Linked DNA regions of Drosophila melanogaster. The protein of the gene in region 4 interacts with the protein of the main gene of each other region in a pairwise test. Each region holds a gene or a part of one and is shown on either strand. Other genes may lie near its edges. The genes, in order: CDK2AP1, CG31140, stas and Sec24AB.

What was found.
Region 1: the proteins of Sec24AB (region 4) and CDK2AP1 interact in a two-hybrid assay, tested with the Drosophila melanogaster proteins (one large-scale study listed by BioGRID).
Region 2: the proteins of Sec24AB (region 4) and CG31140 interact in a two-hybrid assay, tested with the Drosophila melanogaster proteins (one large-scale study listed by BioGRID).
Region 3: the proteins of Sec24AB (region 4) and stas interact in a two-hybrid assay, tested with the Drosophila melanogaster proteins (one large-scale study listed by BioGRID).

The regions. Positions count from the first base shown.
Region 1 is NC_004354.4:11,135,073-11,141,305, reverse strand, and holds CDK2AP1 (CDK2-associated protein 1), read right to left. Parts: upstream 3,448-6,233; 5' UTR 3,250-3,447; coding exon 2,404-3,249; coding exon of another isoform or gene 2,362-2,403; 3' UTR 1,617-2,361; downstream 1-1,616. Other genes in the region: CG15199 (uncharacterized protein), read left to right, coding at 275-516, 578-686; ssp7 (short spindle 7), read left to right, coding at 1,062-1,128, 1,197-1,305, 1,372-1,462; Klp10A (Kinesin-like protein at 10A), read left to right, coding at 5,390-6,233.
Region 2 is NT_033777.3:23,960,782-23,967,688, reverse strand, and holds the start of CG31140 (uncharacterized protein), read right to left. Parts: upstream 4,510-6,907; 5' UTR 4,466-4,509; exon of another isoform or gene 4,456-4,465; intron 1,890-4,455; exon of another isoform or gene 1,885-1,889; 5' UTR 1,099-1,884; coding exon 987-1,098; intron 1-986. Other genes in the region: AP-1sigma (adaptor protein complex 1, sigma subunit), read right to left, coding at 6,747-6,791.
Region 3 is NC_004354.4:17,621,352-17,630,688, reverse strand, and holds stas (stasimon), read left to right. Parts: upstream 1-2,793; 5' UTR 2,794-3,238; coding exon 3,239-3,260; intron 3,261-3,448; coding exon 3,449-3,749; intron 3,750-5,030; coding exon 5,031-5,159; coding exon of another isoform or gene 5,160-5,232; exon of another isoform or gene 5,233-6,425; intron 6,426-6,483; coding exon 6,484-6,994; 3' UTR 6,995-7,468; downstream 7,469-9,337. Other genes in the region: corolla, read left to right, coding at 1-627; CG8326 (uncharacterized protein), read left to right, coding at 1,266-1,348, 1,418-2,333. UniProt on the Drosophila melanogaster protein: Required in cholinergic neurons, but not in motor neurons, for normal neurotransmitter release by motor neurons. Involved in muscle growth.
Region 4 is NT_033778.4:9,875,266-9,885,440, forward strand, and holds Sec24AB (secretory 24AB), read right to left. Parts: upstream 7,093-10,175; 5' UTR 6,918-7,092; exon of another isoform or gene 6,131-6,917; intron 5,952-6,130; 5' UTR 5,928-5,951; coding exon 4,431-5,927; intron 4,370-4,430; coding exon 4,243-4,369; intron 4,179-4,242; coding exon 3,679-4,178; intron 3,620-3,678; coding exon 3,394-3,619; intron 3,290-3,393; coding exon 2,667-3,289; intron 2,612-2,666; coding exon 2,379-2,611; intron 2,326-2,378; coding exon 2,228-2,325; intron 2,175-2,227; coding exon 2,036-2,174; intron 1,973-2,035; coding exon 1,861-1,972; 3' UTR 967-1,860; downstream 1-966. Other genes in the region: CG12744 (uncharacterized protein), read left to right, coding at 249-694, 751-787; CG1513 (uncharacterized protein), read right to left, coding at 8,492-8,578, 8,632-8,737, 8,820-8,941, 9,357-9,443, 9,501-9,636, 9,698-9,872, 9,935-10,036, 10,096-10,175.

The DNA.
Region 1 (6,233 bases), on a different chromosome or scaffold from region 4:
TACTTTTGCAACTATCCCATGAGTGGAATGGCGAATACCTGATAGCATTTGCTTGGTGCATACTTTCCTGGTCTAGGCCAACATCCTCGAGTGTCAGCAAGTGCGATAACGTGGTGCGCCACTTCCTCCACTTCCAGATGACGAGAGCAAGGCAAACGCAGCCGAAATCGGAATCACGAGAGCGTTGATAGCCAGCTGATAAGATGGATGGCCCGCCGCCTATAAGAGATGAGTTCCGGTGACGACCCAATGCTATTCCACAACGAGAGCAACCATGTCCGGAGCAGCTTGGATGTCCCTAGCTTTTGTGGCCTGTCTGCTGGCCGCATCGGTGGACGGCAATGGGTTCAGCACCCAGTATCGTGGTCACACGCAGCACCCTAGCCTGGCGGAGCACTGCCTCTACGAGGAGTTGGACCTGGCCGTTCCACTCAATGGCTACGTTCTGCCCTCCGGTCAGCAGGGCTACTGCATTCGCTTGGAGTGCACCGATGACTATCTGCTGTTGATACGCCAGTAAGTTTCGAGATTTGATCGCATGCCCTCACTATATCCCATTTCGCCCAATCCCTTCCAGCTGCGACAAACAGCCATGGCCGCGACCTGGCTGCCACCTCTCACCCAACGACTATGATTTCAAGTTCCCCGAGTGCTGTCCCCAACTCGAGTGCTCCGACGAATACTAGATACAAGATACTAGATCCAAAAGCATCGATCTGTTCGGAATTACTATTTCTATTTAAACTATAATCCATTGATCTTGTGGCAAAGTTAGCCAAAGTACTAGTAACAAGTATAATCTTTAGTTAAATAAAAACATATATAGTTTAAGAAACTAATGATGTTATCACTGGAACTGCAGCTGTTTCGCCAGCCTCCGGAACGAATCTGTATGTAACGAGAATTTTCCACCTATTTGATAAACCCGAGGACCCCTGAGACGCAATCGCACGGGAGCACAGGGATCTTGACCTTTCAGTCTAATCGCTGGCGCACCCCGAAACAAGTGGAACTATATAGTCGCCCAGCCGAGCGATCCGTTGATCAGTTAGCTACATAATATGAAATCGGTCACGTTCGTACTCTGCCTGCTCGTTCTGGGCGCCCACTCGCTGCTGGTGTTCGCCGGTAAGTGGATGCAGTGCATCGTCGCCACAAACCATTCAATCCCGCATGTTCATCTTGTTCATTCGTAGTGGATTGCGAGATCGGTGGGCATCAGTTCAAGACCGGAGAGAAGTACACGCCGGAAGGTCGCTGCCTGCAGTACACCTGCCAGGCACCCAAACAGGTGACTGCCTTGGGGTGAGTAGCTTCTACATGGATTGATGACTCCTTGACTCACCCACCTTGCCACTTGTGGCCATCCAGATGCCCGGCCATCGCCTCCTTGAAGCCCTGCAAAATGGAAGAGGATCTGAGCAAACCCTATCCCGGCTGCTGTCCCAAGTTCAACTGCTGACAACGCCTCCCTCGCAAGTCGAACTGCAAATGTGAAATGAACTATGAAAACTGAATATATAACTATAGAAACATACATACCTTAAATGAGAGATGCAGTTGGATGGATGGTTATGAGGGGTTCATACATAATTAGAATCAAGTTTGCCAGTTCTGCGTTTACAAAAACCAAAATAGCGCATTTATTTCGATTTCGATTTCGGTTTCGGTTTGGTATACATGCTTGAACTTAGTCGTATTTGCTCTCATACATATAGTAAATAATGTGTATACATATATAAATATTCTCGTGTCAATTGCCACTAATTCACCATTCACTTGGACATGCACACTGTTCGCTTGCATAACAAGTATATATGTATACATATATCTCTGCTTAACTACATCTACATATCTGCATTTGTATAGTTCTCTAAAATAACGAGGAGCAGCTTTATCCGGCAGTGACAAACTCGCACAAATCCTGTCCAGATACATCCGTATCTGCATCTGCATTTGTATCTGCAAATCCTCGACGGCGGTTGCCATTAGATACTCGTAATTGATTGCATTCACTAACGCAGACACAGGAGCAACTGGGTCTTGCATTAACGGATACAAATTAATGGGTATACGGTAGAGATACACAAGTCCAATAACTTGGGCTGCAGCTATACTTGTAGCATTGTCGATTTAACCGATTGTAACCTGAGCTAGTCTAAACATTCTTTAACTATGGTCCGGCGGCCCGAGGGCCATTAAGTTGATGTGGGCTTACAAGTTAGTACAAATTGCTACACTTTAATGCTTAATTGGGACAAAATGGATCTTTGCGTTTGCTATATGTCCGTGTTTTTTTTTGTTTTTTTTGTTTGGGGGTAATTAACCTAGATGAGGCCGATCCTCGCCTCCTGGTCCATTTCACTCCGGGGTCGCCAGCTGCGGCGCCAGCGACTCCTCCTCTCATTGGCGCGCCGCACGCTCCGTTTCCATGAGGCATTCGCGCACCAGGATGCGGGCATGGACAATGCCCCGCTTGAGACGCTCCGTGGAGCTGCGCGAGCCCGTGTACGTGGGCCGGATATCGCGGCCCATCTCCTCAATGACGGCCAGCAGCTGGGCGTACTTGGTCAGCCCATTGCCCGGGCCCACTGAGGGCAGGCTGGCCGTGGAGGTCAGCGGCGTGGTGATATTGGCCGAAGTTTGGGTGGTCACCACCACGGGCGAGGTGGAGGGTGGCGGGTACTTTAGCTGCGATGAGCTCAGATTCAGGCCCATGCTCTGGCCATTGCTGCCAGAGGAGGTGGAGGAAACGCCGGCACCGGAATTCCGCTGACCACCATTGCTGGAGCACATGTTGGCCAGCGAGAGGGCCGCAGCGGCGACGGCTGCCGGCGTGGCCGTCGTGTTCGACTGCTGCTGGAGTAGCGCCAGCTGGGCCTGGAGGAACTGCGGGGAGTATTGGAGGGCAGCGACGGCGGCGGCAGCTGCTGCTGCATTGGCCGCTGCAGCGGAGCTCTGCTTGCTGGACGAGCTGCTGTAGTCGCTGGCGGAGGAGCGGTCCCGCTCCCGCTTGCCACCGCTGCTCGTGGAGTAGTCGGTGGCAGCGTTGGATGAGTTGGATCCGCCTCCTCCGCCAACGGATCCACGCGAGTGGTGGATGGCCGATATCTGGATTTGGGGCTGCTGCTCGCGCTGCTCCCGCTGCTGCTGGTAATTGTAGAAATTCTGCACTTGGCTGCGCGGTATCGGTGTCACCGTGACGTCACTCAGCTTGGACTCTACGGCCTGGATATCCATGATGTCCATGGTGGCGCTGGGCGATGTGGTGTCTGGAGTCGATATCCGTCGGTTGTTGTGGTAACTTAACTATGTCCACCTTTCCGTTTTCCTGGCACACAAAACTACTAGTTTTTAGCGTTTCTTTTTTGGTTTATTGTTTTTTGTGATATGATATCGATATCGATATCAGGAGGCGTTATTACGCTTTCCCTTCAACGCACAAACAAATACACCCCCACCAACAAAAGTCGATGGTTCGGATTATAGTATCGATAGACAAGCGCGATGCAAAGTGCCCACCTATTCGCGTCTCGAATGTGGGTGTTTCCACTGTACAAGCAATTTGTATACATGTGGAAAGCTCTTTGTCCAAATTGGTAAATGGCTAAATGTTTTTGAAAAAAAGATAATTAACAACCATAAAACTACAAGAAAATTACAAAATTTAACCCAAGTGCATATGTATACATGAATGACAAAACGGTAAAACCATGCAAATGAATAACCATCCACGTCGAATAATACCTAGTTCACCCTGATAAGGCACTCCCAATTTGTCTTATTAAACAGCTAATTTTGTTAGGGCTTAAAAATACCCAACGTTATGTATGTCTAGTGTTGTCTAGTTTCGGGGGGCGGAAAAGCCAATTGCACACAAATATACAAAGTATTGCCGAAACGTTGATTCTTTCAATAAATAAGGCACATTTTAATGAACTTATGCTTATGCCAACAAAAGCGGTCGCTTATTTTTATTACTTATTGATATAAATTCCAAAACAGCTGACATTTTTAACGGTTACTTTGCCTAGTGTTGGCCAAGACATCAATCTTAATAATAAACTCTCAAGTTGTCAAAATTATACTTGTATTTCTACTAAAAAGTCATAAATATACCCAAAAACTACTTAGCCAATAGTAACCCTGCTTAATATGGATTTTATTCACTTATTAACACGCCAATTGTCTCACTTTTCAAACACAACGGCTGATTGCCAGCACTGTTTGCGCTGCAGTCCAGTGCTGCGCAACGCGGCGGGGACAAAAAACAATGGCGAGGCGAAACTAAAAAATTGTGTTGCTGACATCTGGTCGCTTGCAAAACTATTTCTAGCAGATTTTGTGATATTTCGTTGTGATCGGTCGATAAATCCGCCAGTTTTTTTTTTAATGGAAAGTGCTAACACATTGTAGCGGTTGGGAAGATAGCAGGAAAGGTGAGCGAAAGGCAGAAGATTGCGAAAAATTCAATTAAATTTCCGCGACCGTCTGTTTTCTGCATCGGTGTGTGTTTGTGTTTGCTCGCAAGTGTGTGTGGGTGCTCTGTGTATGACGTAAAGCGATAAAGCAAACGCATTCCCCCCACTCCTTGCATATGTGTGTGTGTGCAAGTGTTGTGTTTCTCTCTCATCAGTTTTGCATCTAATTAGGAGCGGAAAGCATTGATTGGCTGCCAAACGCCGCGGTTTGTTGTTTTTTTCGCTGCATTTCGGCCAAAAGGCTTGCCGCAGCTGCATATGTGTCGCTATGTGTGTGTCAGTGTTGCACAGTGCCGCCAGTGCCCACAAAATGGGCGCACAACAACAAAAGCAGCAACTCGGTTGGGATTTTCGCGATCCTACGCTGGCTCGGAGCTCCCCTTTTCCTATTTCCAATTCCCAGCCAGCGGGCTGCCGTTTTTCCTTTTTGTTATCCGTTGCCAGACGCAACGAAAACGACAGTTGGCATTTGAATTCAGCACAAACACACATACTAACGCCGACCCGCAAGCAGCACACACACACACACTGGGACACTCGAAAAAAAAAAAACAGACGCTGTCGGCGACCTCGACAAGCAGTTGGGTTCGATTTAGTTGTCAATGCCTTGAATTCGGTTCGGGGCTTAGTTTCCACAAGTTTATCGCTCGTCAAGAAACAACGAAATAAAATTATTTTCGACCTAAAAAATCTGACTAAATTGTGTTTTTTGTTTATGTATTTATTTAGGCACATTTTGCACACCACAACGTAGTTACTACATCTACGACTAACGGAACTCCTCCTGCAAGCAGTGGAAGTTGCTGTCCATCAAGCAGTACTCGGAGTTAACGCAGGATAAGCCGGGAGAAAGAGAAAGAGATCGGTGGAGAATAGAGATATACAGGTGGAGTCAAAGAGGAAGGATCATGGACATGATTACGGTGGGGCAGAGCGTCAAGATCAAGCGGACGGATGGCCGCGTCCACATGGCCGTGGTGGCGGTGATCAACCAGTCGGGCAAGTGCATCACAGTCGAATGGTACGAGCGCGGCGAAACGAAGGGCAAGGAGGTAGAACTGGACGCCATACTCACGCTCAATCCGGAGCTAATGCAAGATACTGTCGAACAGCACGCCGCCCCGGAGCCCAAGAAACAAGCCACCGCGCCGATGAACCTCTCGCGTAATCCCACACAATCGGCTATCGGTGGCAATCTCACCAGCCGTATGACCATGGCCGGAAACATGCTGAACAAGATCCAGGAAAGCCAGTCGATTCCCAATCCGATTGTCAGCAGCAATAGCGTGAATACAAACAGCAACTCCAACACTACGGCCGGCGGAGGTGGTGGCACCACAACGTCGACGACCACTGGATTACAGCGTCCACGGTACTCGCAAGCTGCTACCGGCCAGCAGCAGACAAGGATCGCCTCGGCGGTGCCTAATAACACATTGCCCAATCCCAGCGCGGCAGCCAGTGCTGGTCCGGCGGCACAAGGAGTCGCCACTGCGGCCACAACCCAGGGAGCTGGCGGCGCTAGTACCCGGCGATCGCACGCATTGAAAGAGGTGGAGCGACTGAAGGAGAATCGCGAGAAGCGACGCGCCCGACAGGCCGAGATGAAGGAGGAGAAGGTGGCGCTGATGAACCAGGATCCGGGCAATCCAAACTGGGAGACGGCGCAAATGATACGCGAATATCAGAGCACGCTGGAATTTGTGCCGCTGCTCGATGGCCAGGCCGTCGATGACCATCAGATCACAGTGT
Region 2 (6,907 bases), on a different chromosome or scaffold from region 4:
TATCTACACAGCGAATCGGAGCCGTCTATGACGTCGTTGGCGCTCCGCTCACGTCACGGCGGACACGGCCAACAGCCGCACAATTTGGAAAAGTTCAAACGCGCACACTTATCGGCCGCAAATAGCACGATGATGCCGCCCCTATGCCAATGCTACTACACACCAGATCTAGATGCTGCCACTGTCGGAGCACATCGACAATCTATACAATCTATACGATCTACACGATCCGTACAATCTACACAAATCGTAGATGACCCATTGGTCATGTGGCGATGACGTCGGGTCTGCCGATCACTCTGCACGAGGAGAACTTGTTTAGTTTCACAGGGAAAACGCAATTGTCGGACGAGGCACAGACCAATTGCTTTATTTTCGGTTCGGATAATCTACATTACTTTATTATTTTATCAATAGCAAACCTTTTCTGATAAATGTCAAGATATACATTCACCCAATTAAGTTATTAAATCTTTTTACTGATGCTTTGAACACTTCACATATACTATCCAAAATAATAGTAATCATTTCATGATAAGATTCCTATATTTCGCTATTCTGTGCATGTTTATGCCACCCACTACTGCCTCATCCTCATCGACATCATCAGCGGCCGCATTTTCATTCCAAGTTTATGGCAATTTAAAAAGTATTTTCAAAACTAGACGAAATGTATTTTTACATCTGCCGCTGGCGTTGAAGATGTTCGATGATTTGCGTGCTGCGTTTTCTCGGTTCTGTTTAGTGCTCATTAATTACAACTTATTTCTATTGCGGCCGTTGAGACTGAATTGAGAACTGATGGACGAAAGATGTAGTTTCATATAGAAAATTCAGTTTTAACGATTATCTTGAAGGAGATAATCCAATGTAAGATATGCCTTTCTGATCAAATTGCTTACGCAATAAATATGAATAAAAAAATGTGGGATATCCTGTGATCTCATTGAAAATATTTAAAGTACTTGTACTAGCTCGGTGCTTACCTTCGCAGATATATCCCTGCTGGATGAGGCCCCAGAGCAGATCCGAGCAGTGGTGACAGTATGTTGGCTTATGAAATGTCTTCTTCACGAATGAATGCCCACCATCCGCCATTTTGTTTGCCTGTGTCCGCAGCCCGCCCCACTTCCTGTCCTTCTGCTTCCGGTCTATCCTCCTGCGCCTCCTTGTGCCTCCTTATGCCCCGTTGCCTTATGCGTAGTGGGTTTTTTGTGCGTTGTCCTGCTGGAGGATGCTGTTGCAGCTGCAGTTGCTGTTGCGCTTGCAGCGGCAAAGGTCTCTCGATGTTGCAGTTATATGAGCAGTATTCGCGGCTGCTGCGAGTGCAGTATGTGTTGCAGTTGCAATATCGCCTGCTGCTGTGTATATGGGCTATTTCGAAGTGGGATTCTTGCGGTTGGGCAATTTAGGCCGCTGCTGCCGGTGCGGGCGTCGACGCCAGCTGAGCCAGCGCTGCCGTACCGACCGAGGGCGTTCGATTGGCGTGGGCGTGGCAGGACTGCTCCTTCTGATCCTGCTGCTCCTTCTGCTGCTGTTGCTGCTCCTGGTGCTGCTGGTACTGCTGGTGCTTTTCCGACTTTTCCTGTTGCTGCTGACAAAAGCGATGCGATAGTGACGACGGCGAAAGTGACGGCGACGACGGCTGCATTTTCATCCATTGGTCAGGTAGCGGCTCCCTTATCCGGACATTTGCTTGTCGGGATCGGTGTTTTTCCTCGCTTTGAACTTTATTTATCCTTACTAGTTTCTATATACATATTGGCTATGTATCATATTTGCTTTGATTCATATTCATGCATCTTTGGTTTGGTTAAGCGTTTTCGTTTATAACTTTCTTTTGGTGGTGAGTTTTTAACTGTTAATTATTTACAATTTCTGGCGCTGCACTAAACAAAATAAATTTGATAATTGCTTGTTAGAATTTATGTGTGCCATTTGAAATAAATAAATTCCAATTGAATTTTGTATATAGCACTGCACACACAGTCGCGGACACACACGTAGGCACACTTCACTCGGCGGGCGGTCTTCACTTTACTACTACCGAAAACGAACAGTCGCAGCAGCAGCAGCAGCTCGGAAAATGTTTTTCTTCGACTTCGCTCGTTCCTTTGCTTTTCCACTTTCCGCTTTTCTGCGCTGATACGTGGGCGCCGCACACCCCAAAAGAAAAAAACAGCAGAGCCAAAAAATGAAAGGAAAACGTTTCCCGATAATAAAATCCACAAGAGCGGGAGTTTCCACAGGGAAATGCGAGAGAGAGAGAGAGAAAGCTAGAAAGAGAGCGAGAAATGGGGCTGCGCGAGAGAGAAGGCACGCGTCATGCGTGGTGAGTTGGGTAAAAAAGTTCCCAGTATTCTTGGAGCATCATAAAAAAGTAGTAGACATCAATATAATAATAGAAGTGGCAAAAATATGATATCAACAGCGTGTACCGCAGGGAAAAGGAGAAAGGGAACCATAGGGAAAAGGAGAAAGAGAGAGTGGCACAGAAAGCGAGAGAGGGAGCTAGAGCAAACTGCATTGCTTCAATTTCTCCCACCCAAAGCGATTCTATCAATTTCCATAGCTGCGGCGCCCTCAAGTATGCAACATGTTCTGCGACGAACCAATTACCACCGCCACCCACTTTCCCAGCACCACCCCCTCCCAGCCAAAGGCCGCCCACCGCCAGCGGGTATGGCCAAGGACAATCCAGTCAAATATTATATCATACAGGTCCTAATAATAGACGGAAACAAAGGTAACGACACTTGAAGTTTTCAACTTGATGACAATAAACGATAGCTAACGGAAGGCGCACAAATCCGCATTGTGTGTATACGCAAAGTTAAGGTCGGCATAATGGCCCTCAAGCACAAGGATCTTGGTCCTTATTTAGTGTATATGACATGTTTTTAGCATTGATTTTACATCGAATTATGTCCTAAGCTCATAATTCTATAACTATCTATTGTGACAACAAGATATGAGTTTCCTATTGTTTAAAACCCTCAAATTTTAGTTCGATATTCGATCCTATCGAATATTGATATTAACGCATCGTTTGTGTGCGCAGAAAAGCACCTACACGAAATTATAGTAGTTATGATGACTTAAAGCAGATTATAGATGGAATCAAGGAATATCTATAAAACTGGAATCCACATACGCAGTTACTTTCTATAAAAAAAAGTTGTTAACCCTTGAAGTAGAAGTACTGCGAACTTGAGAAATGAGTTGTGAACTTGGACTTGACGGTACTATTATTTGCACCGCAACTGTGAGTTTGGAGCCAGCCTGACGACGTGGAATGTCCAGGACCCGTTTCCCGTGTCCATATATCCTGGCCACCAGGCGATGTCCTGGCGACATGCGCACTCCGGAACCCACCACACTCGCTCGCGCGAACTCAACTCCACCACGACGGAGCGTTTCAAAGAAAGTGGCCAAGTTTAAGGATAAATCACAACGAGCAATATTTTTGCAACAAATGCGTTGAACGGGCGGCAATTTGGGGGTTGGGTGATGAAAACTTTGCGGCTTTGCTTTTCTTAGGGAAATTATTGTTTTGTTTTGGGCTGGGAGAGGCGCAGAAGCAGAAAAAACGGAAAATTATGGATGCTAATGGGGGGCCCAAAAAAGCGAGATATATAGATTTCAGAGGCTGTGTATACACACACACTCTACAACTGTAGACAAAGCAGCCGTACTTCGTACCCGTAGTGGCGCCCACCCAGCCCACTGACGCCCCCACCCCTTTCCCCCTCTGGACTTGCCACCCACTTTTCCCACCCAATGCTGCGCGCTTCGCTCTTTTCGGGCCGCATGAGCAAATCGCAATAGATAGAGAATTTTTTTCTTTCTTTCTTTTGCTGGCGCGGCTTGATTCCTTGCCACCACATCTATATGTATGTATATATATATATGTCTGATTGGTATATATATGCGAATATATATGTATCTGGACGGAGTGCGTGTGGCCTTGTCTTTTTCCATTTTCATTGCTAATCACACGAAGGAGTTAATTTGTTAAAACTTTGGCTTCGGATGGGAAAGTGGGGCCTGGAAAACTCTTGGTACTTGGCACATATGACAACGTAATTTTCACGCGCACACACACACTCGCGATTTTGGAGAGAGAAATTTTATGTACCATACATTTTTGAAGCTGCAAAATTTTGCACATTCGATTTTCACACTGCCACTAATGCTGCCTGCTACTGCTGCTGCTGGCGCTGCTGCTTTTTCCTTCGTTTTTCTTTTCTAGCCGCACTTTCGAATTTTTTTTCCTTCACCGGATGGAAAATTTTCACACGCACAGCAATCGAGTTAAAGCGAGTTTTTCGCAAGTTTTCATCGCGATTTCCCCCGAGTTTTCCACGCGTTTTATGCACTTTTTCGCTGCGAGTGTGTGAGAATTTTCCTGTGTGCTGGCTGTGTGAAAATGGAAATCCAGTGAAAATCCGCAACCGTTACGTACGGAAGAGCACACCTAGCTGCTGTGTGTGCTCCGCTGAAGACGATGGTGCGCTCTGCGGACGGGTCTGCAACTTTCTCGCGGCGCAGCGCCTTTATCGCTGCCTTCGCCGCTGCTCCGCCTGGCGCTCTCGCTGCGTCCCGCTCGCACACGCCGTGGGGCCAATCGCGCCCTCTCGCTCGACGCTGAGTGTGTTGAGTTCGCCGAATTCCTGTGTGCGTGCGTGCCCAACAACAAACAGGGGGAAATGTTGGGGAGCTCCCGTTAGGGAGAGAGCCAGGTCGCTCTCTATCTCTCTCGTTCGCAGTCAGGATGCTCTCTGGCGACCCCCCCTCCCCAAATAAAAATGAAATCAACAATTTGTTGGTCGGCGAGCTGCCAACTTGGCCCCAAAATAAATGTGGCCAAGCTAAGAGAGGAAATTGGCCCAAAGAACGACCATTATTTTAAATTAAGGCTTAATTGAAGGTTAGAAATGTAGGTTTTTTGAAAAAAATGAGTTTTACATTCAATATTAAAATCAGTAAGAAAATGCATTTTCTTATATTTTATAATTTAAGTTAGTAAAATCTCATAAAAACGAACTTTTCAAAAACCATTGCCTACTTTCTTGTGCTTATTCCGCGTCATAACCATGACGTACTATTGTCCCAACAGAAAAGAGTAGTACTGAAATATAAAAACTCTCACGCTCGATACCATCTTTATTTGCAGCAAAGAATGCATAAAGTAAACAGAGTTTTGATTGGTTACTTTGGATACAGCAATTTTTATATATTTATAGGGCTTTTAACTTACAACTATAGAGTTGAGCACACCGTCGATTAATCGCATCGCTTTACTTTGCTTATCATTAAGTTAATCTTTACAAATATGAACGTGTGTGAGCAACCGATATTGATGCTTTTTTGTGAAATTAAATGTATTGCAAATTGCATTTGCCAAGCGAAATTAGGAATAGGTTTAACAGCACTTCTATACACAATGTTTTTTATGCTGACACAGGGTGGTTAAATTACAATAGAACCGGTATACTTTTGGGTTACGTTAAATACACATACAATTAAGGCGACTTTAAATGGGTTCAATATAGATAATGCCTTTCTGGCGTTACTTTTGCATAGAGCCAACTTAGCCCAGGCCGTGATCGTCGAAGAAACTCTGCGGGGTCTCATCCTGGAAAGGGAGAATGCTTAGCTTCAGTTACATGTTACTATACTTTACAGCGCTTGGGGTAAAAGGAAACCAAATAAAAGTATCGATACTGGGGGCTAACTATGAAAAAGACTATGAAAAAGGGTGGTATATAGTAGCAACTAAAAACGAAAGGACACCAAACGGGTGCGCTAAGCCAGACATATAGGTAGATAGACAGTTTAGAGGGAGTGGAGCTCAGAGATCAGATCAGTGGAGGTGGAACAATGTGGGCGTCAAGAGTTTAGAGCAGTCAAATTGGTCAGTCACAACAACAGCAAAGACAACAATCAAAACTAAACGTTTAACAAAGACACTAAAAAGAAAACTGAGGTTCACCAGGTCTTACCATTTTCATATAGCATACGAGTACAATTAGGATTTTTTTTTCAAAAATACTTGGTTTTTATTTTAACTTGTTTTTCTCAGTTACAAAACACAGAAAATTTGGCTAAAACGTACAACACACATACATAAACATATATATATATATATATACTTGTAGATATAGATAAACTAGATTTTTTTATTCGGTTATTATTACAATTTTCAATTATATATCGTTCTCATTTAATCAACATTAAAGCTTACATGTTTCTATTGTAAGAATAGTATTGCATATATTTCCCCACTAAATTAGTTATTGCCCATTTGGTGATTGATTGGAATGATCTTTCGATTATAAAATGTAGATAGGAAGAGGAATATTAATTCAGTTCAGGAACCCCAGGTGGAACTACGTGAGGTTGGCTTGTTTTGCATGAACTTTTCTGAATCTATTGTGTCTGTGCGTGAAATTTACGAGATAGAGTGTATGAAAAACCGCATACCAGATGCTCTGATGTTACTATATAGTATTATTGCTTTTTGGAGCCTCACGCTGCTTGGCGTCTTCTTGCTTATAATTTTTTTTTCAGCGCTTCAGTGCTGTACAACAGCCAAATCACACACTAGTGTTGAGGAGTGGATGGAGCAGTGCTGTAAAGTGCCAAGTGCAGCACACGTTATCGCTGGGGTGTAACTGTGTGTGTTATTGTGTCGGGGTGTGCGTGTAATATCAACTACATAATTTCTAGGGTGTTCTAGTTCTTTAGAGGAGTCCAATGTCTCTTAAAGTGCCCTCAACGGCTTCGTCCTGGAGTACAGAGAATAAGAACAATAAGAACGAGAAGAGTAGAAGGAAAGAGAGTAGTAGTGGTAGTAAGAGTAGTAGGTGTATGTGTAAGTAGAATGTGTCCAAAAAAGAAACCA
Region 3 (9,337 bases), on a different chromosome or scaffold from region 4:
GAAGAATTCGAAATGGCGCTGAAAGATGAAGGATTTGAGCAGGAGGTAAAAGTAGAAAAGTCAGAAGAGGTTTTGCATCTAGAACAGGATAGATATGATGAGAAATCTGGCTCAGAAGTCGAGGAATCCGTATCGGATGACAAGGAATCCGGAGGGGAGGCTTCAGGAGAGGAGGAGCCGGCTGATGCGGCCAAACAAGTAAAAATCGGCGAAAACCCGAAGACTGATGAGCAGCTATCCAATGAAATTTCCGATAAACCACAAATAATTAGAGTCGACACTCTCTCTCCCTTCAAAAACATATCTTCCTGGGCCAGCGACGATATACCCAGCACCTCCAAGGGCACTCTTAATCGTTTTACTGCAACCCAGTTTATGAACTATGGTAGCAATCGCGATGAAAACGAGGCGCCGCCTTGCAAGCGACTAAAATTGGAGGAGGAGGAGTTCCCAATGAGCCAACCAATGCCGGATTACTTTAAGCATCCGTCGTCCACATTCAACAACTTTGATGATCAATCACTTCGATTCAGCTCGCCCCACAACAATTTTGACGATGATTACCTGCTGAACTTCAGCGATGATAATGATGTTACACCTACTGCCGCCTCGGCGTACATACTTTAAATTGTTAACGTATTTTGGTCAAAAATTAATGTATGTTCTTTATAAGAACGGACAATTAATTAATATCCAGATACTTATTCATTCATTGCCATTTGCAATCAAAAAAAATTTCACTTCAGCTAAATTATTTGTAGCTTTATAATGAAATTAATTTGCGTACATAATATGCATATGTACATTTAAATCATACGTATTCAGTTCGAAAGTGCCGTTTCAGACTTATTCTTCATTTTGTCGTTGCTTATAAACTAATAAAACAATAAATTAAGACAAATTCGTGACTTTAAATATTTAATTTTACTGCAAACAGTAAATTTTACCACTTGCAATAAAATACTTTTCTCATTACAGCATATAAATCTTTATTAAAAATGTATATTATAAAATAGGGGAATATGAAGACTACTTAATACAATACATAGTGTAAAATACATTTATATATTTAATCTAATATATATTTAACTTTAATATTTCATTTGTAATTCTGGGCGCCAATGGTTTGAGTCCAAGCTTTAATCGATTTGGTATATTTATGGTTTGTTTTGGTATTTGTCAGCATGCATCGCGCTTAGTATTTTAACCCATGCTGTCGATACCACGAGTTTGTTTTACAAAAATTGAACCAAAACCCAAAATAAATGGCTCGGAAACGAAAGATTCCCGTGCGCAAGCACCACGGCGTCCGTGATCCCCTCAAGCAGCTGGAACAGAAGGAGAAGAAGTTTGTTCATAGTGGCAAGTCAGTCGAAAAAGGCAGCTAAACTAATATCTGCACCATTTCACATTTCAGACTTTCCAAAGTAACGAACAATCCGCCTGTGAAAAAGGATGAGCAGCAGGTGTCCTTTAAGTTCCGTCAGTTTCAGCAGCTTGCCAACGCCACCAAATCGGGCAAGAAGCTAAGATTGGGCGAAATTGGACGGGAGGATAAGCCCAAATCCTCTCCAGGATCCAAGCCTGGCAGTAGTTCCTCCTCAAAGGAAACGCGTAACATCAAGCAGTTCGCCAACGAAACGGACGAGGATTATCTGCGCCGAGTGAATCGCATGACCAATGCATCCGTACGGGAAGCCCACTACGAGGCCAAGTATGGTGTGAACGTGATCAGAAACCCCAAAACCGGGGAGATTACTGTCCAAAAGAGGCCGAAAAACGAGATCGACGAGCTGCTCAAGCAGAAGCAAAAGGAGCAACGGCTGGCGGGCAAAAGGGGTCGCAAAAAGGTTCAAGTCGTACACAAGCCCATGGATGCGAAGACCAGTCGCGAATTGGTGAAGAGGGCCTACAAGGAGGCCCAGCAAGAGGTTGATACCGAGGAGAAGCAGAATGCCGGGCCAACAGAATTCAAACAGGATGCTGTGGCATTTGGTGAGATCGTCCATGCCCCACCTTCCCTCAAAATCCTGCCGCGCAAAGCGGAAAAAAGTGAAACCGTGCCGCGTCCAGGACGCAAAGCCAATCTCCTTCTAAAGTCCATGCTGAATCCCGACCAGGGTCAGTCAAATCGTGGGCCGGAGGACGACGACAGCAGTCGACTAAAGCTGGCTGCCCAATCTAAGAGCGCCTTCAAAGCACCCACCAAGGCCCAGATGAAGGGCAAGCGGAAAGATCTGCCCTTGGCTACGAGGTCAATGCTTGAAACCGAGCGCAGCAAAATGGTTCAGCTATACCGTCAGCTCAAAAACAAGACAACAGCAGATTCCTAACAGATTCTAGACTAGATACCAACGTACTTTTTTTTTTACATGAAAACAAGTTAACCTAATCCCTTAAGTTTCGTGAATGCGTTTGCTACCCACTGAAGGTCGTAGTTTCATTATAGAATGTTAAATATATTGATGAGATTTTTATTAAATCTATTTTCATACAAAATAAAAAGTGCACTGTTTAATTCCACTATTTCTATCAGTATTTCATGGAGGTGGTAATTAATATGGAGTCTTTTGGCAAAAAGAAAAAGGGCACTATTATGTTGATATTTATAGATACAAAAAAAGTACTTCACTTGCTTATGCAGACACTCACATTTTTTTATTTACGTATAACATTAAAAAATATAAATAAAATTTAGAGAAACTAAAAAGTGGCGCTAAATATGACAGTATGACCAGATTTTATTAGAAACCCACGTTCAGTTTTGTGCGGTAGCTGTGTACACGCTTGGACTTAATCAACACTGCGCCTTCGGCCACACTGGTCGTGACGGAAATTTCTGAAATTAATTTATTTTAAATTGACTTTTAAGCGTGATCGTTCGCCGAAAAAGTCGGCTAAAGTGAAAAGCAATAGAAAAAATTTAAAAAAATTGCTATTAGCGCAGTAGTCAACTACAATTACTCTAGTTAACGCAGTTTTAGCCAACTTCCTATTTTTTTTATATTGATTAAATTCATTGTTGTAGACACACGCACATACACATACGCATAGGCACGCGGATAGAGAGAAGAACAACAAATTGTGACTGGCGCGCAAATAGGCACACAAATAGCATTAACAATTGATAAATAGCCTAGACGCTAAATGAGTCAATCGTGAATTAAAATCGGATATAGAAGGCTTATTAAATTTTCCTTCTTCAACTCGGGCTTACGTACATCGTGTCAAAGCCACAATGTCTTACTGCAGTGGTGTGGGTGAGTGTGCTGTTTTAGTTGTTTTTACTTATCAGCTGAGCGAAGGAACGGTGATTAACCCGCAGCTAGTGCGCAGCCCGTGAAGCCAAAAACGACTATTAACCCTTAGTCCGTGCATTCTGTTCACCACCACCACTTCTGCTTTGGAATGCATATTACATCTGCATGTCTCTGTTTTTTTTTTCTAGCCATTTCCGCTGACGAGGGGATTACAATGCGCAATGGCAGGGCAAAGGCGCTCCAGGAACACTCCCCGGATCAGGTGGCTACTCCACTGTTGCCACAGGTGCCGCCACAGGAGCAACAAGATCTTAATCCACAGCAACAACAGCAGCAGCAGCAACAACAACAGGCCACTCCGCAAAAGCAGGCCATGTCCGCAGACGAGAAGAAGGCCACCAAGAAGTCCCTGGTCATCGTAGCGGGCATTTTTGTGGCCAGCTTGGTCACCATGTGCTATGTGTACGCCATATTCCCCGAGCTCAACGCGTAAGTGGGTCTTTCTGGTGCTAAAGCGCCACAAATGTGTGTCCCCTGCGCATTCGTGCACCTGTAAGGTGTTAAGTGGCCTCCATGTGTGTGTGTGTGTATGCTTAGCTTGTCTCGCTTGATTTGCGAGCAGAGATGTCGACCAATGATCCGCTTAAAATAGCTAGGCTACATCCAACTATGATTAGATATGCTAGGTAGTCATTTACCTAATGCTAGTTATCTCCATTTCGCTTCTAAAACAATATTTTATGTTTAAATATCATAGATATTACATTTGTAGGATGTAAAACTCTTATTGCAAATACTTATTATTGGCTAGATCAGACATAACTATTTGTATGTAGTGAGAAAAGGGCCATTTAATTGTCCAAATATTTACTATAACAGCCATGTTAAATAAGTAACTTAACTCAAATGTCACGCTTTGCATAAGAAAAACTTTCTGCACACGATTATTATTATCTTTAAACTTTACCTAAAGCGGATTGTTATTTGATAGTCTGGTTCTGTGAGTGAGTAAACTTATTTTGTTTAAAGTTCAAGACGTTTGTGTACATATACTTCTATCAATTTGAATTCATCAGAATTTGATTTGCATGGAATCAGCAAGTCAGAGAACAATCTTTGTTTTTTTTTTGTCAAATTTGATCAGCAAACGTAACGTGTTGAAAACTATAAGTGCAGATCCCTCTAATCTTTTTCAAAGTCCCTTGGCAGACCCATTATTCTTATTGATAATGCTGTGAAATTTTACTTATCTATTTTGTTGTTCTTTTTTGTGTTCGTGCCTTTTCACTGCATTGGCATACAGTGATTATAAAGTAATTGAAATAGTAACCAAATCATGATACCTTTTACGGCATTATAAAAACACTTATCTGTATATCGTGAGTTTGCTTCCATTTAAGAGGCGTTTTTGGGCAGTAAAGATAGGAACTATTTACAAAGAGTTATTAAAGTATAGTATTCAATAAATAACAATGGTTTTCTATTTAGATAGTTAATCAAATAGTAATATTATATACCAGTCCCTAGCAACCAAACTTATCTAAATTTGTAAATTAAGAAATATTTCAATTAAGCTCCAGTTGAGTAGCCAGATTTGACTGGAAAATGGCTGAAATTACAGAGCTATCTGGCGAGAGGGTTTACTCGCACACACACACACACACACATCGAGTCACGCCACCGATATATGAAGTATTTGTATATATATACATATATACATAGACTGTGTTTACACCTCGTCTCGGTTTTGTTCTTGCCCAACTTCTGCAGGTCGGAGAAACAACACTTGAAAATTCCGCGTGATATCCAAGATGCTAAGATGCTAGCCAAGGTCCTTGATCGCTACAAGGACATGTACTACTTCGAAGTGATGTTTGGCGTCGTGGTCGCCTACGTATTGTATCCTTTTACCAAATCCAAAAGTACAAATCCAAAGTACGAAAAATGGCATGAAAAGTCGGTCGCCGACTGATTAGATAATAAAAGAGTTCTATCGTTCGGCGGTGACCTTGACCCGATTACCAAAAATGAAGACCCCGCCACTACAAACTATTCACGGTCAGTCGGGCGTTTGTGTGTGTTTCCACCTTAATTAATTCACGATCACCGTTTGAAGCGCATAGTGTGCATATTAAATACGTGGGTAGCACGGGGAAGTGCGAGTGAGATAGCTGTAGGAAGCAGGGGAGCCGCTGAGGTTGCCTTCTTGCTCTTACTTACTACTTGCACTCTCTGGGGTGGACCGTATTTCTTTGGATTTTCCTCACACGCTAGCATTTCGTGTTACTAGAATTCAATGCAAACAAAAAAATAAACCCACAATGCTCAAAACTGGTTCTTCACTGTGCGTATGAGTAATAAAATAACGTATACGCAATGTTAACTGTGTTGCTATTAGTTTATTTAGAAAATGTTTTGCTAACCCAACTGGGTTTAAGATATTTTAAAATGATTAGTTTTTATCGGTGCGTGTCAAGTTTATCGTTTTAATAAGGTCCACTCCAGTGCACGCAGCATGTGCTACCTAAAAATCGACTTTGGTCGTTTATATGACGCATTCTTTGTATTTGTTGCTGTTTTCGTCGCGAAAATCAGCTGAGCTGGACATTATTTTGTTGTCGTCAGTGTTTTGATTTTTTGTATTTTGTTTATTGCTCTTCTTCTTCCGCACTCAAGTGCGTTTTTAGCAGGAATAAACAAAAAAATAAAGAGGCAACCTAGAAGCGAAATCAAAAGCTAAAGCACATACGTAACTTTATAGCCTTGCGCCAGTGTGTTAGTGAGCATTTTTTATTGGCCCGTGCATTTGTTATCGGGCATTTGTTGAATACGTGGTCCGATGCCAGATGGAACGAGACTGTGGGGGATTCTCGGACGATGGGGGTGTCATTGTCAACTCTTTGCGTCTATAAATACCCGCCCACAGACGTTCGAGCACGCGTCCAACTAGTCGTACGATCTGTCTTTAATCCCAAGCACAGTGGTTCCAAGAAAGAACGTATTTTGCTAGCCAATGTGACATGACATGTTTTTAGCCAAAAAATAAACAAAGAATACTGGCAATCTCCTAAAACATCTCTCTAATAGTTTCGCTAATTTTGCCATATAAAACATATCAATGTGGCAATACGTCGAATAGGTCATTAAATTTAGTTGCCACTGCAGGTATCAGATGAAACCGCCTACGACTGGTTACCTTGACCCAATTGAAATCCATTTATAGCCTGCAAACATTCGCCATTCCCGGATCGCTGTTCCTCTCGATTCTGCTGGGATTCCTGTACAAGTTCCCGATCGCCCTGTTCCTCATATGTTTCTGTTCGGCGCTGGGCGCTACCCTATGCTATACACTTTCCAATCTGGTCGGACGTCGTCTGATTCGTCACTTCTGGCCGAAGAAGACCAGCGAGTGGTCGAAGCATGTCGAGGAGTACCGGGACAGTTTGTTCAACTATATGCTATTCCTGCGCATGACACCGATCCTGCCTAACTGGTTCATCAACCTGGCATCGCCAGTCATCGGTGTGCCGCTGCACATCTTCGCATTGGGCACCTTCTGCGGCGTGGCACCGCCCTCGGTGATCGCCATCCAGGCGGGCAAGACGCTCCAGAAGATGACTAGTTCGAGCGAGGCCTTCTCCTGGACCTCAATGGGCATCCTGATGGCCTGCGCCTGTGCATCCTTGCTGCCCGGTCTACTCAAGAACAAGTTCAAGCACAAGAAGGAGGCGTAAGCTGGCCGGAGGATGTGTCCAAAATATATTTATATATATGTATGCTATTCCCCAAACCGAAACCAAAACAAACCGAAAAATCATTAATTGTAATTTATACACTACGCCAGAAACAACACACACACACATACCGATTTTTTTTTGTTTGTAAATTTTTTTTCGGAATGCCACTTTGGGTCTCGATCCACTATGTTTAAGACAACTACAAAATATCTGTGTTTATCCTATTATTAAAATTATTAATGTTTTCTGAACTTGTTCTTACCAAACAACTTTTGCATCATATATTTCCATCAATCGTTTTTAAGTTAGTGAATTTTTGTTTAGTGCTATTGCAGTATTTACTAGAAAAGTTCTCCTCTAAGTAAAACGAGTTAGCAGAAATCCATTGAATATTACGCAGCGTATGTAAGTTAAAAGATGATTAAAGTATGTATGTGTCTGCAAGTAAACGTTAAAACAAATACAAATTACAAATTATGTGTTTTATTTTCGGTCATATCTGGATCTAAAAAACTATCAAGAATATTTTCACGCTGTATGGTCAAGAAGTCATTTTACTCACATGAAACTTATGCAAATAATTTGTTTACTAACAGTGAGATTAAATTTAAATATACGTTATAAATATAGTGAAATTTAAGCTTAAAAAGCGATATATAAGCTTATAAGCTTAAAGCTATGCTTGTTTTGTAAGCTTTTAAAATGTTTAACGGCAAATTTGAATTTACTTGGCAAGAGCTTTGGTCTTCTACCTTCTCGCCCATCTTGTTCATTTACATTGGCCAAAACTTTGGTTTCCCCTGTCGACTATTCTTTGTTATGGCTTTAATTAGCCTTTATTATTCTTGGCATACTGCTCGATTTTTCTTGGCCGCCTTTTTGTTATTCTTGCGGTTTTGGCAGCCATTTGATTTGTGTGCTCAATTAGTTAGGCAAACTTTTTTAAAAGGATTAACTGCTGAGATCCGTTTCTCAAAAATATTTTTAATTTACTTTCGCCGAGACTTTGCGTTGCCCCACGAGATTTTTCACCAACAGTCGGCTGGCTTGTGGTTATCATACCAGTTAACTTGTAGAGTAAGGGGCATACTACATATGTCGCAACTTAAGTATTTAACTGGTAAAAGAAATCGTTAACGAGCCTTGTCCGTCCGTCTGTTCGTTCGTATGGACTTGTAACTAAAAGAGTAAGGATGCAATTTTATACATTTTGTATGCCCGATTTTTTAGCTGAGTAATGGGTATCTAATAGTCGTGGCACTGGACTGTAGTGTTCTCCCTCCTTTTTCTTAGAAGGTCTTCAAGGCAGATGGTGCTACAGGTGTCCACACGCACAGTGGCAAAGACAAAAAAACAAGGGTGAATGCTATAGCCTCGACTATCAGATACCCGTTACTCAGCTAGTGTGAATGCGAACGCGAAATTTCATCATTGGGATATGGATAAATATAAAATAAAAATGAGAAAAATTTTAAAATTGTTCAAACCGTGACCGGTTTGGCGGCTTTAGGGCGGGAGTGGCAACATGGGTCAACACACTTTCGCTGCGGACACACTCGGCTATTGATCCTGATCAAGAATATATATACTTTATATATTTACTTTACTCTACGAGTAACGGGTATAAAAACCACCGGAATTTTGTCAAGCTATACCGACACGCACATCATGGACAACGCGGCTCTTCTCTGCTGTTGTTCTGCTTTTCGTAATTGATTTAGGACGCGTGTAGTGAAACATAAAGGACCGTGATGAGGAAAACAGTGGGTATTGCCTATGGGGGATATGAGCCATATATGTACATATGTATGGTTCGAATCAACAGTAAGTTGATAGTTAAGAATATAGCATTGACCCAAATTTGATGTGCTAAAGAATTCGCGAATTCTGATATGTAATTTATTTGATTTAAGGGCTTGTAAGAACGGAACGATTGGGTTTGTCGTATCGACGCAGTACTGCACGACCGTGCCAGCATAGAAATTGTATTAACGACATCATAATTTCGCCTGCCATGCGTTTCATCAGTACAAAGGCGTACTCCAACTTTTGGCAATTGCCTAAAAAATATGCACATCTTTATTGGGCTTAAGTAGTACAGATATGAGTTTGGCTGCTGCGGAGTGTTCCTGTCTGTTTCAGGCAACAAATTCTGATCACTTAATGCGTACAGACAAATGTGAGTGGGCGTGGCAGTGGAGGCCGGGGCAACCAAAGGGAATCATAATCGTTTGTAAATTATGCACTTCATTAGTTGGCAACCATGGGCTTTGTAAAAGCGATTTACATTGTGGAGAGCATTCGTTCAGCAATCCGCTTATAAATGGGCAAAAATTTAAT
Region 4 (10,175 bases):
GAGGAGAACGAAAAGAACAGTTGATTTCTTGTAACCGAATGGAACACTTGTGACTTTTAAGTGCGCATCGAATAGACTGGATGTTGAATGAAAAGAAAGACGTGTAAATAACGGAGTAAAAGAACGAGAGCGAGGAACCGTAATGCGAGTAGTTCATATGTTGATGAATTGAAAATATAGAGAGTTTCCATTCGTATATTCTTAAGCTAACATAAAAATAAACAAGTTGCATGTGAAATAAATAGATAATGGAAACGGCGTTGGCTGAAGTGCAACTTTCCTGTCTGCTGTGCGAGCAGACTTTTGATGCCACTGAGAAGCTGGACGAACACCTCCCCACCCACTTTCCGCAGCCTGTGAGCACTGGTCAAACATGCGATATATGCGGGCGCACGATGCGATCCTCGCTGGAACTGCACCAGCACTATAAAAGATACCATGAAGCCCATGTGCCCAACACAGAGGGACACTTTCAATGCCAGCTCTGCGACAAGGTATTCCTCCTCCAGGATCATCTCAAGGTACACGTGAAGATTGAGCACGCGACCGATGGCTACCAACCAGATGAGAAGTCCTTAGATTGGCAGCACTACTCTCCCAGAAGTCTAGACACAACAAACGATTATAAGCTGGATCCCATCTTGTGTCCTCCACCAAAGAGGAAGTATCCGCCGCGCTCCCCCTTCTTCAATCCGTAAGTCCAGATACCCAATTTATATTTGTCCATTATTAAAGTTGATATTTTTGCAGGAATCTCTGGCTAGGCGCTGACAACTGTTTTATGTAGAGGAACATAGAACCAGGATATGTCTTGCGAAGGGCTGACCGATTTATTGAGTCTTATGCGCCATCATCTATCCATTGTAAATGATTGTTAATTTAATTAAGGTCTTTCCCAAAACTAAATTGGGATATATTGGGAACAACAGATGTGCCTGTACATATGAAAATAAAACGCATTGCCTTATGATTTAATTAAAATTTATTTCGCTTTATATCTTGATGTACTCGTATGTGTATAAAGTATGGTACAGTATTTGTATATGGTTTTTCGATTAGTTAGCCCACTCAAAGAACGACAACTGCGCCACCTGAGGTACAGGGATGGGGTCTCTTTATTGATACAGTATAATATTCCTTCTAAGCTTAAGACATTCACTGCCTAGCAGTCCAATGAATGCAATACACAATACCAAATCCGTACATACGTTTGAAATAAGTTCGCTAACTACAGTGCAACAAAACGCCTTTCCTTACACTTATAAATAAATATAGATTTCTCTGGATTCCGGAAAATAAATACTACTGAAAACAGCAAACAATTGGGGTAAGCGATAACAATTTGTGGGGCTGAGAAGTTTGCAGAATGTTTGAAGCAGTTGGAACGAACAAAAATCGAGCTAAAGCATAATGTACAACAGTTTCGTTGGTTTATTGCATAGTTTCTATAATAAATAACGGAGCCATCCACTTCTTCGGGAGCTCTACTGACTGGTTAGCTGAACTTTTGACTAATGTTCGCCCTAAACGAACTGGCAACGATATCTTAGTTTCTGTTGTGACAAGTTGGCTCTTTCGCATTTACTATGATCTTCAATTATTTTATTTTATTTTTAGTGCAACAAATCAACAAATAAATAAATACATGCACTTTAAAATTACCTAAGCCGAGAGAGTGGGTAGGGGATGGGTGGTTAAGGTGTATCAAGTGTATGTCTGTCCCGAACTGGTCTCCATTGTTTCGCACCAGTGTCACCTGCATTCGCTTCGTGCTTCTAGTCACCAGAGTCTGAGTTTTTAGGTTCTTAGAAACTCGTATTTATGCTGCATACAATAGTGGTAGGATATCCTGCTTATATACTATTTAACCTGAGCCCGAATGTGTTGCAAAAATTCATAGTATGACAAACTAGATTCACTGCGATCGTCGGTTAATCTCTCGGTGAACTGGCCCTTGGCCGTGCTCGTGTCCCTTTAATTTAAGATAAAATAATTAGCAAGGTATTATGAATATTTTAATAGTGGTCCGACTTACCTAATTATCTGCACCAGCGCCGAGTAGGGCTTATCGTAGTTGAGTCGCAAAATAAAACGCTTCAGCACATCGTTCTCGTTGCTCACAACATTTGGCAATCCATATACATAATCACCCAGTTCTGCGGTGGAGCTGATGCCTGAAATTAGAAACAGATTAGTAACACAAATTGGTTGGGTTTTAAGATCATACCCAGAACAGCTTCCAAAACATCGGGCGGCACATTAAGGCCGACATAGATCATTATCAGCGTTCCGCAGTCCATCAGAAATATTGACCGAGAGTCCAAGCTGAAGTTAAAGCGTTCGTTATCGAAGGTCAAAAATAAATCAACTCTACTCACTGTTCCGCGGACAATTGAAGACGCGGCAGCTCCGGCAACGGTTCATCCTCGTCCTCGTCGTCATCCTGGTTCGAACTAATGTTCGAGTTGCGGGCGTGGTAGATCAACGCATCGATCTTGTACAGCTCCGGGTACACGTACTTCATTAGCTGGTCCAGCGGTAGCGTTTTCATGCAATCCATGGCGTAGACCCGATCATCCAGTCGTGTGCTAGTTCCCACACGGAAAGCGGGCTAGTGGAAAACCGAAATAAGCTGTGATAACTAAGATCATATGCAAAAAACTCACGTGCTTAAGCAGGGCCAAGATGTAGAGCGGGAGCAACGCCAGGCTGCGCGGCGCTATCAGCTGACCCGACTGTCCCGATGGCAGATTTTGTGCTATCTTGAAGGCATTGTACACGTCGATCGTAGCGTTTATGAATGCATCGCGGGCGTCCGACAAGTTGGAGGCGACCGACCGGTCAACCGCCATTTTCGACAGCAGCCCGATAATAGCTTCCGTGTCGGCTGAATGCATTACCTCTGGGAGCGAAGCGGTAACCGGCAAACACACGGTGTGCACACGGATTCGGCGCTCTCCTTCGCTGTTCGTATAGAGCAGCGCAGCTTGGAAGCAAATCGTTTTCGCGTCCGTGAGGCTCTCCTCGTAGGAGATCTGCATGCCATATCCAGCATCCGGATTCACGTTTGGCAACGAGAGCAGGTCCGTGGAGCGCACGAAGAAGTTTCCATGGAATGTATGCACCTGCAAGCCACGAGTGCAGCGGATTCGCATTACCGCCTCAAATCCAATTTTCCTGGTAAGATAGCGCTTGAAACACGAGCGGAACGATTCTACCATGTGTGGCTTTGTCTTCTGGTAGAGCGGGAAGTGGTGTACACAGCCGCCGCTATGTTTGCTAATGCCAGCTATAGGGAAATTGAAACTCCAATAAGTTAACGGTGCTCTATTACTCGTAAGAGAACTTAATGCAAAAAGGCAGTTTGAATTTACATTACTAAGAGTCACTTACAAATGGTTGCCATGTCGCTGTACTGCTGGTTCATCAGGAAGAGGTCACAAGCTATTTGATAGCCGGAGCACTCTAGGGCAAAGCGCTTGTAGAAGTCGGTTGCCGGGTTAAGGTGGGCCACGTCCTTTGCCGAGCGGTTGTTGGGATCTTCGCGCGGCTCCAAGGCTCCGGGTCCCTTGTTGGGAAGGCACGATTGAAAGACGGTTATCCGTCCGCCGGACGCTTGCTGTATACAGTATTCACGATGATTAAGGTTCCTCTTTAATTTTGAATAGCTCAACTCACCATTAGCTTGAAAGCAACCTGCAGAGCAGCACCCAAGGCGGAACCCGGATCGTGGGTGTGGGCAAACCGCTTAGGCAGTTGCTTTAATAGATCACGCACCAGTTCCTTGCACTCCTTTAGGTTTACCAGCAAACTATCAGGACGTGGCAGGAAGGGGTCCTCGATGTCCAGCAGCGTCATTTCGTGCGGCTGGTTGAGCCCCTCGGCCATGCTGTAGAAGTGCACGAAGCTGTCGAAGCAAATGAATCCCACCTGGGTCCTCGCATCACCGGGCATCTCGTCTAAGTGCCGGTTGAGTACGGCGCATGCGGCCTCCAGATAACCACTCTGCTGCGCGATTATCGAGACATCGAAGAGAAACAGGTACATGGCCGGCTGTGGCGGCCGCAACATGTACTCCGAAGGAGCAATAAACTCTATGGTGCTAGAGCGTACCTCGGGCCTTCGGGTTACGTCGCCGTATGTCTTTGTGGCCGGATCAAATTGAAAGTCATCTGGCACTGCACGAAGAAAGAAACATTGGATTACTAAATCCATTATATGCTGGGAACTCTTTTCAATTACATTCGTTGACTCGATAACACAGATTGCACTTCCACATCTTGCTGTCCACGAAGTAAACGAAGGGATTTATGTAAGTGCGGCACAGCCGGCAACGCACAATGTTGATGCACTGAATAACAGGGAGGCTCTGTGTGAGGAATTCCAAGTTAAAGTCTTTTATATCAAATTATTTTCAATAAAATTCTTACATTGACATCACGGAAGGGATGTATCACAATGCCCAGAGGCAGACGTGACTTCTGGAGCAGAGAGTTGCTCTCGGGAATCTTGGTCAGCGTACAGCGCATAATGCTCGGGCTACAGTTTATGGACTCGTGAAACTGGTTGTGCAAAACCACTTTTGGCGGAGGCAACGTTGCCGGCGTTAAGATATGCCGATTCTGCATAAGGTCGATAGTATCCTGTCCCCACAATCTGCTGAATCCCTGCTGAGCCACGTTTAGTGGAGCAGTGGTTCCATAAGGTCCCCCGGGTGCAGTCTGGGGTGCTTGCTGAGGATGTTGTCCGTAAGCCTGAGGAGGCGCCTGTGCCTGATACTGCAGTGGAGCTCCAGTCGGTTGCGTTCCGAACATTCCCGGCGGCGGTGGCTGCACTGCAGACTGAGGAGGTGGTGGCTGTTGCTGTGGTCCTGGTTGATAAACCTGGGAGTATGGATACGTCTGTGGTGTCTGCTGGGCTGGCGGCATCATGGGCTGGGCTCCCGGCGCCGCTACATTTGGTAAGCTCGGCGGCCATACCGCTCCTACTCTTGGTGGCGGCGGTGCATTCTGTAGATTGTTGTTTTGCTGGCTCTGCTGCTCGGGGTTAGTTGGTGGGGGTACTCCGTATGGGATTCGTTGCCCCGCTGGTGTTGGTCTACCGGCCATCGAGGCGCTTCCGAACATTTTGGCCGGATTTGGAGCCAAATTGGGGGGCTTTTGTCCACTAAACGGCGTCGCCATGGCATTGGGAACTAGTGCAGCGGCCACTCCGCTGGCCGCCAACAGACTGTTGGCGTCGTTGAACTGCGGTGGACCCGTCTGGGCCGAGGCCACTCCCCTGCCATCCTTTTGTGTTACTGTGGGTGCGTACTGTTGCTGGGTTTGGGGTTGTGGCAAAATGCTGGTACCTCCATTTGCTCGAGTGGTATTCAAGTTAAGATTTTCCAGATTGCTCGTCAAGTTGGCCAGAGATTGGTGCGTCGGTTGGGGCGAAGGACGCAGTCCCGACGCCAGGGGCGGATTGTTCAACGCTGCAGCGATTGGTCCTTGAGCATATTGAGGGGCAGCTCCTACTGGCCTTGGGGATGCAGTGCGCGAAGAGTTCGCACTGGACGCCCCATTGCTGCCGTTCGTAAGGGGTGGTCCGTTGGCGGCGGGCGGACGCAGATGGGGCGGCAGCGTGCTGGGCGGCAGTTGCTGCAGAGGTGTAGCTGCTCCTGACGTGGGCGGCAAGAACTGGTTCGTAATACCACTGTTGAACTGCTGCGGCGGTGGCACATTACCTGGCGCTCCTGCTCCCGGAAAAGCTGCTGCAGGAGGTGGTTGCTGGAACTGTTGTGGCTGCTTCTGTGGTATATACTGCTGACCAGGTGGAGGACCTGGCTGCTGCTGGACGCTTCCTTGCACACCATTCACAAAATTGTTTCCGTTCAGTGGCATAGGGGCGTGGGCGGGAGGCACGAAGTTCGGATTGTAAGTCGACATGCTGCTAATTCATAGGTTTGTGGTCTGAAAGATGAAGAATTACATTTTGTTTAGTTGCTATCTTATCACTAGCGAAGGTTGCGTTGCTGCCGACATGAAACAGGGAATTATCTTATCGTTCAATGTTAAAAAGCGCGTAACATGAAACAATGTGCGGCTGATAAAAGTTGTAAAGTTTTAAAGCGGGATGCTTTTCCCCGCTTACAGACAGTTTAGAATTTGCAGTGATCGAATGGAATGCGAAATTCTGCGTTATTGGAGCTTTATCACAAACTTTTAAGCTAGACTGGCTGCCTAGGTAAATGTCTTGATTCAGTGTTTACAGAACTGTGTCTACGTCAACAGTAAGTCGGAAATAGGGTGATAATTTCATATCATATTTTGCTGTTTAAACAGCTTCGACAGCAGGTCGTTATGGGTTATTATGTGATGTACAACGTGTAAGTGTGCGTGCCTCAAGCACTTGACCTCGCCATCAATGATCGCAGAAGGTGGGTCGGTTAAATTGGTGACCCAGATGCAGTGGAAGCAATCAGGAAGAGAAAGGATTTGTCTCCGGAACAAAGCAAATTTTTGATGACGTGCCTATTGGCGAAGTCAACCCGCCACGCCCACCACCCACTCAAAGAAATTGGGGCAATCAAGGCATATGTAGTGCCCATAACACGGTTACCAATCACTTATCACCTTCCCGAGCTTCAGTTTTCATTGGCATGAAGTTCCTCGGCCAGCACTTGCACTTTGTAGTTGCCTCTTCTTCTTGCGCCCTTGATTGGCGATTTTGCTGCGGACTATGAATTAGCTTTTCCGCCTTTCGTTGTGAGGAAAGGGCGGATGCAGCTGTAAAAACCACTGGTTGTACTCTTTGTTCTGGTCTTTTGTGAAATCCTTGGCTGGATTTTTCTCCGCGAACGAAAATTAAACGATTTTCGCACTTCCCTACGCTCTCTCCACTCCCAAAACTTCCTTCCGCACTAGTTTCTTTCTTACACGATTTCAAGCGCTCCTCGCGTGCTCCGGATGGATGCGAACACGTCCTATATTGGCAGGCGGATTCTTTGGACTTGGCGTCGTACGCTGCTATGCACAATTAACTTAAATGCAAACTTTTTGCATTTTCCGGAGAACAAAAAATTTTGAGGCCACGTCAATAGTGTGACCGTTGGTTTTAAAAAAGAGATGACAGTGCTCTGGGTCGCCTATCGATTGCAAATAAAATGTTATCGATACCAATGGTAACATTATTTTTGTAACAATTCAAATTTAAAACTTAACGCAATGTTTATTAAGTGAAGACAAGCAATGTATATTATATATAACTCTGTTAATGATATGAGCTTAAATGTTCGTAAGCCCGAAATCCAAAATCCATTAAAACTGCTTAAAGAACAAATCGCTTTATTTGCAATATTTGTATCTGCTTGGGAGTAGCTCAATTTCTCAATTAACACGTTGGTTAAAAAGAAAATCGCAAAAATATATACAAGTTTCCCCGGGCTTGGATATAAGTTCCAATTAATGCCATTGGGATTACAATTCTTTTATTCTACGGGGTAACTAGTTCGTTAAATATTACTTTAAATCAATTTCGAAGCGTATTTACTTTATTCGTTTCATTTTGCGTTAACTTTGCGTGAGAGTAGTCGGTAGATTTGCTGTGTGGGTGGTGTTGCTTCCTGGCTCGTAAGTTATAAAGTTATAAATTAAATTTAATGTCTATTATTCAACGTGTCTAGGAGTTCGGTTTTCAATTGGGTTCTATTGCAGTAAGGTGTAAAGGTGTGTCACCAGCGGACTCTTGGTAAAGCTTTATTGTTATTATTGTGACAAGTGGAATTCGAAACATAATACTAAAGGTAATCGTATTTGATTTATAAGCTATGCGACTGGAAAATCATTGTGCACCGTGTGTTCTATGTCCGTGTGTCTGTCCTGTGGTCTTGGAAAGAAGCGAGGGTGCAGTATCTGTCGGATACTAGCGTGTCGGTATTGTATTTCGTCTATAGCAGAGTCTTTTATTTCAAAAATAGAATCTCTATTATCCTTAAGTAACTATCATTTTGTAATCTACAACTTTTGATATATCCCATTATGTATTGGATTTCTTTCTTTGTTGCTAGTTAGTAAATGTTAGTAATGTAAAAGGTATTGAATAGGTGTCATTGTGTTGCAGTTTACTGCGATTGCCTTTGAAACACACTAGTACTTAGTAGTAAATAATAATCGTTAATTCTGTATAGAAACTGTGAGTGTTTGATTTTTCTGTCTCCGCTGAGCTGTCGAGCTTGACTCGCGTTCCAACCTAATGAGCAGAGCTTTACTCCTTTCTTTTTCTCTGTGTATATTATTTACAATTAATAACCAGACCCTGGAGCCTCCATCATGGATCTCCTTCTGCCAGTTCAGTTGTTGCTCTAACTTTTCCTGCATTCGTTACGTTGTATCGTCAGTGTTGAGAGGTTTGCGCACTTGTGGAATTAAACATATAGTTGAGGCTCGTTCTTGATATGATCCATATATATAGACGTTTTTGGTGTTGTTGCTCTCGTTGTCAGTCGGAGGCATTATCTCTTGGCCTCCTTCTCCTGCAGATACATGCGCTGACTCAGCGGCTTGGCGTAGATCCAGTTGTCGCCCACGGGCTTAAAGTGCTGTGAACGAATATTATCTGTTAACTGTTTTACCCTATATCGGGATGACGTACCTTGTGCTCCCAGGCCAGATCGTATTCCTTGCGCACCTTGGCTTGATCACGCTGCTGTTGCTCCACAACGAATTTGGCAGTTGTAGCGCGCTCGATGTCATTGAACCTGTGGAAGAGCAACGAACAAAGAGATTACATTTATCATGACTCGCAATTGGGGGTCAGGAATTAATTGGTATGCTGTTTACTTGAGTCCCGCTGTCACTTCCTTCCAAACGCGTCGCGATTCGTACTCATCCTGCTCAACGATTGGTCGAACTTGTTTCTTAAATATGGGTATGCGATTTACGTCGACGAATACTTCGGTTTTCTAGAAAATTCAAGAGATTCATTCAGATTCACTATGTGGTCAACTGATTGGGATTGGGTGTAATATTAAACACACAGCAATCATATATAAGTACAGATAGCAACAATTTGAATACAACGTTGGACAATCAGGCATAGGATTAATTTGTGGGTTCGATTTTCTAGACAAACAAAGTAAACACACAGAGGAAATGCTCCCGAGCTATTTAAGAGAAAAGCAGAAGAATCGTGGATAGTAAGTAGAGGTCTAGTTGGGGTGTGAAGGGTGGATGTGGCTGCCAACTCGTGGGGTTGTTTGTTGCAGCGTTTTGGCGCAGTATGCGGAGGAAAAAGTACAAGTAAAGGATCAACATTTACAGAAACAATATATAATAGTACACTACAAACATAAACCAAACATATTTTGGACGACTTACGTTTTTATCATGCCACTTGGCCTCCATCAAACCACTCCACTCGCCCGTAATAGAGACGAAAGGCTTCTTTTCGCTCGGCGCATAGACCTATGGATTATCCGAATTAATAAAAGAAAACAAATGTACACATTCAGAGCTAGTCACCTCTGCCGAGACCCTGTTCCGTTTGCCGCCATAGAATGGCTTGGTGAGGAACTCCACGTTGGCATAGTATCCAGACTGTGGACACTTGATCTCCACCGAACCGCCGAGCTCAATCCAAGGCACCGTAAGAATAGACCTTGGTAATGGAAATAGTCTTCAGTTGTTTGTAACCGGAAATACCACAGACACGTTCTCACCTGCCGTAGCCGTTGGGGAAGGTCACTATGTACTCCTCGCTGCGATCCACCAGGGTCACAACACCCTCACCAATGTTATGAACTCCAATGGAGAGTCCCAAGAACTTCGACTTGGTCCATACATGGGCCGCAAATGTTATTTTTTTATTATAATGCTCCGCATAGAAGGCAGAAACTGAAACAAATAAATGCGTAAGTGATAGAGGTAATAAAGTCTTGTTTTTTTCTTTGTATTACTTGGCGGATGGTGAGACACTTGCTCAGCTAAAAAGGTGAGTTGATCCCGCCTGCACCAAGGCACTGGACCGTCGCGTACCTCCTGAGCGTCTTGGGATATGCCTAATATCAAGGAAAACGCGTAAGTGGTGGTCTACAGTAGCTAGTTTTGCATTGCCTACCAGGAATGTCCCAATGGCACTGAAATACTTCTCCCAAAATTGGATTGTACGGCTTCTTGGCCACCGCACTCTTGCGCCCA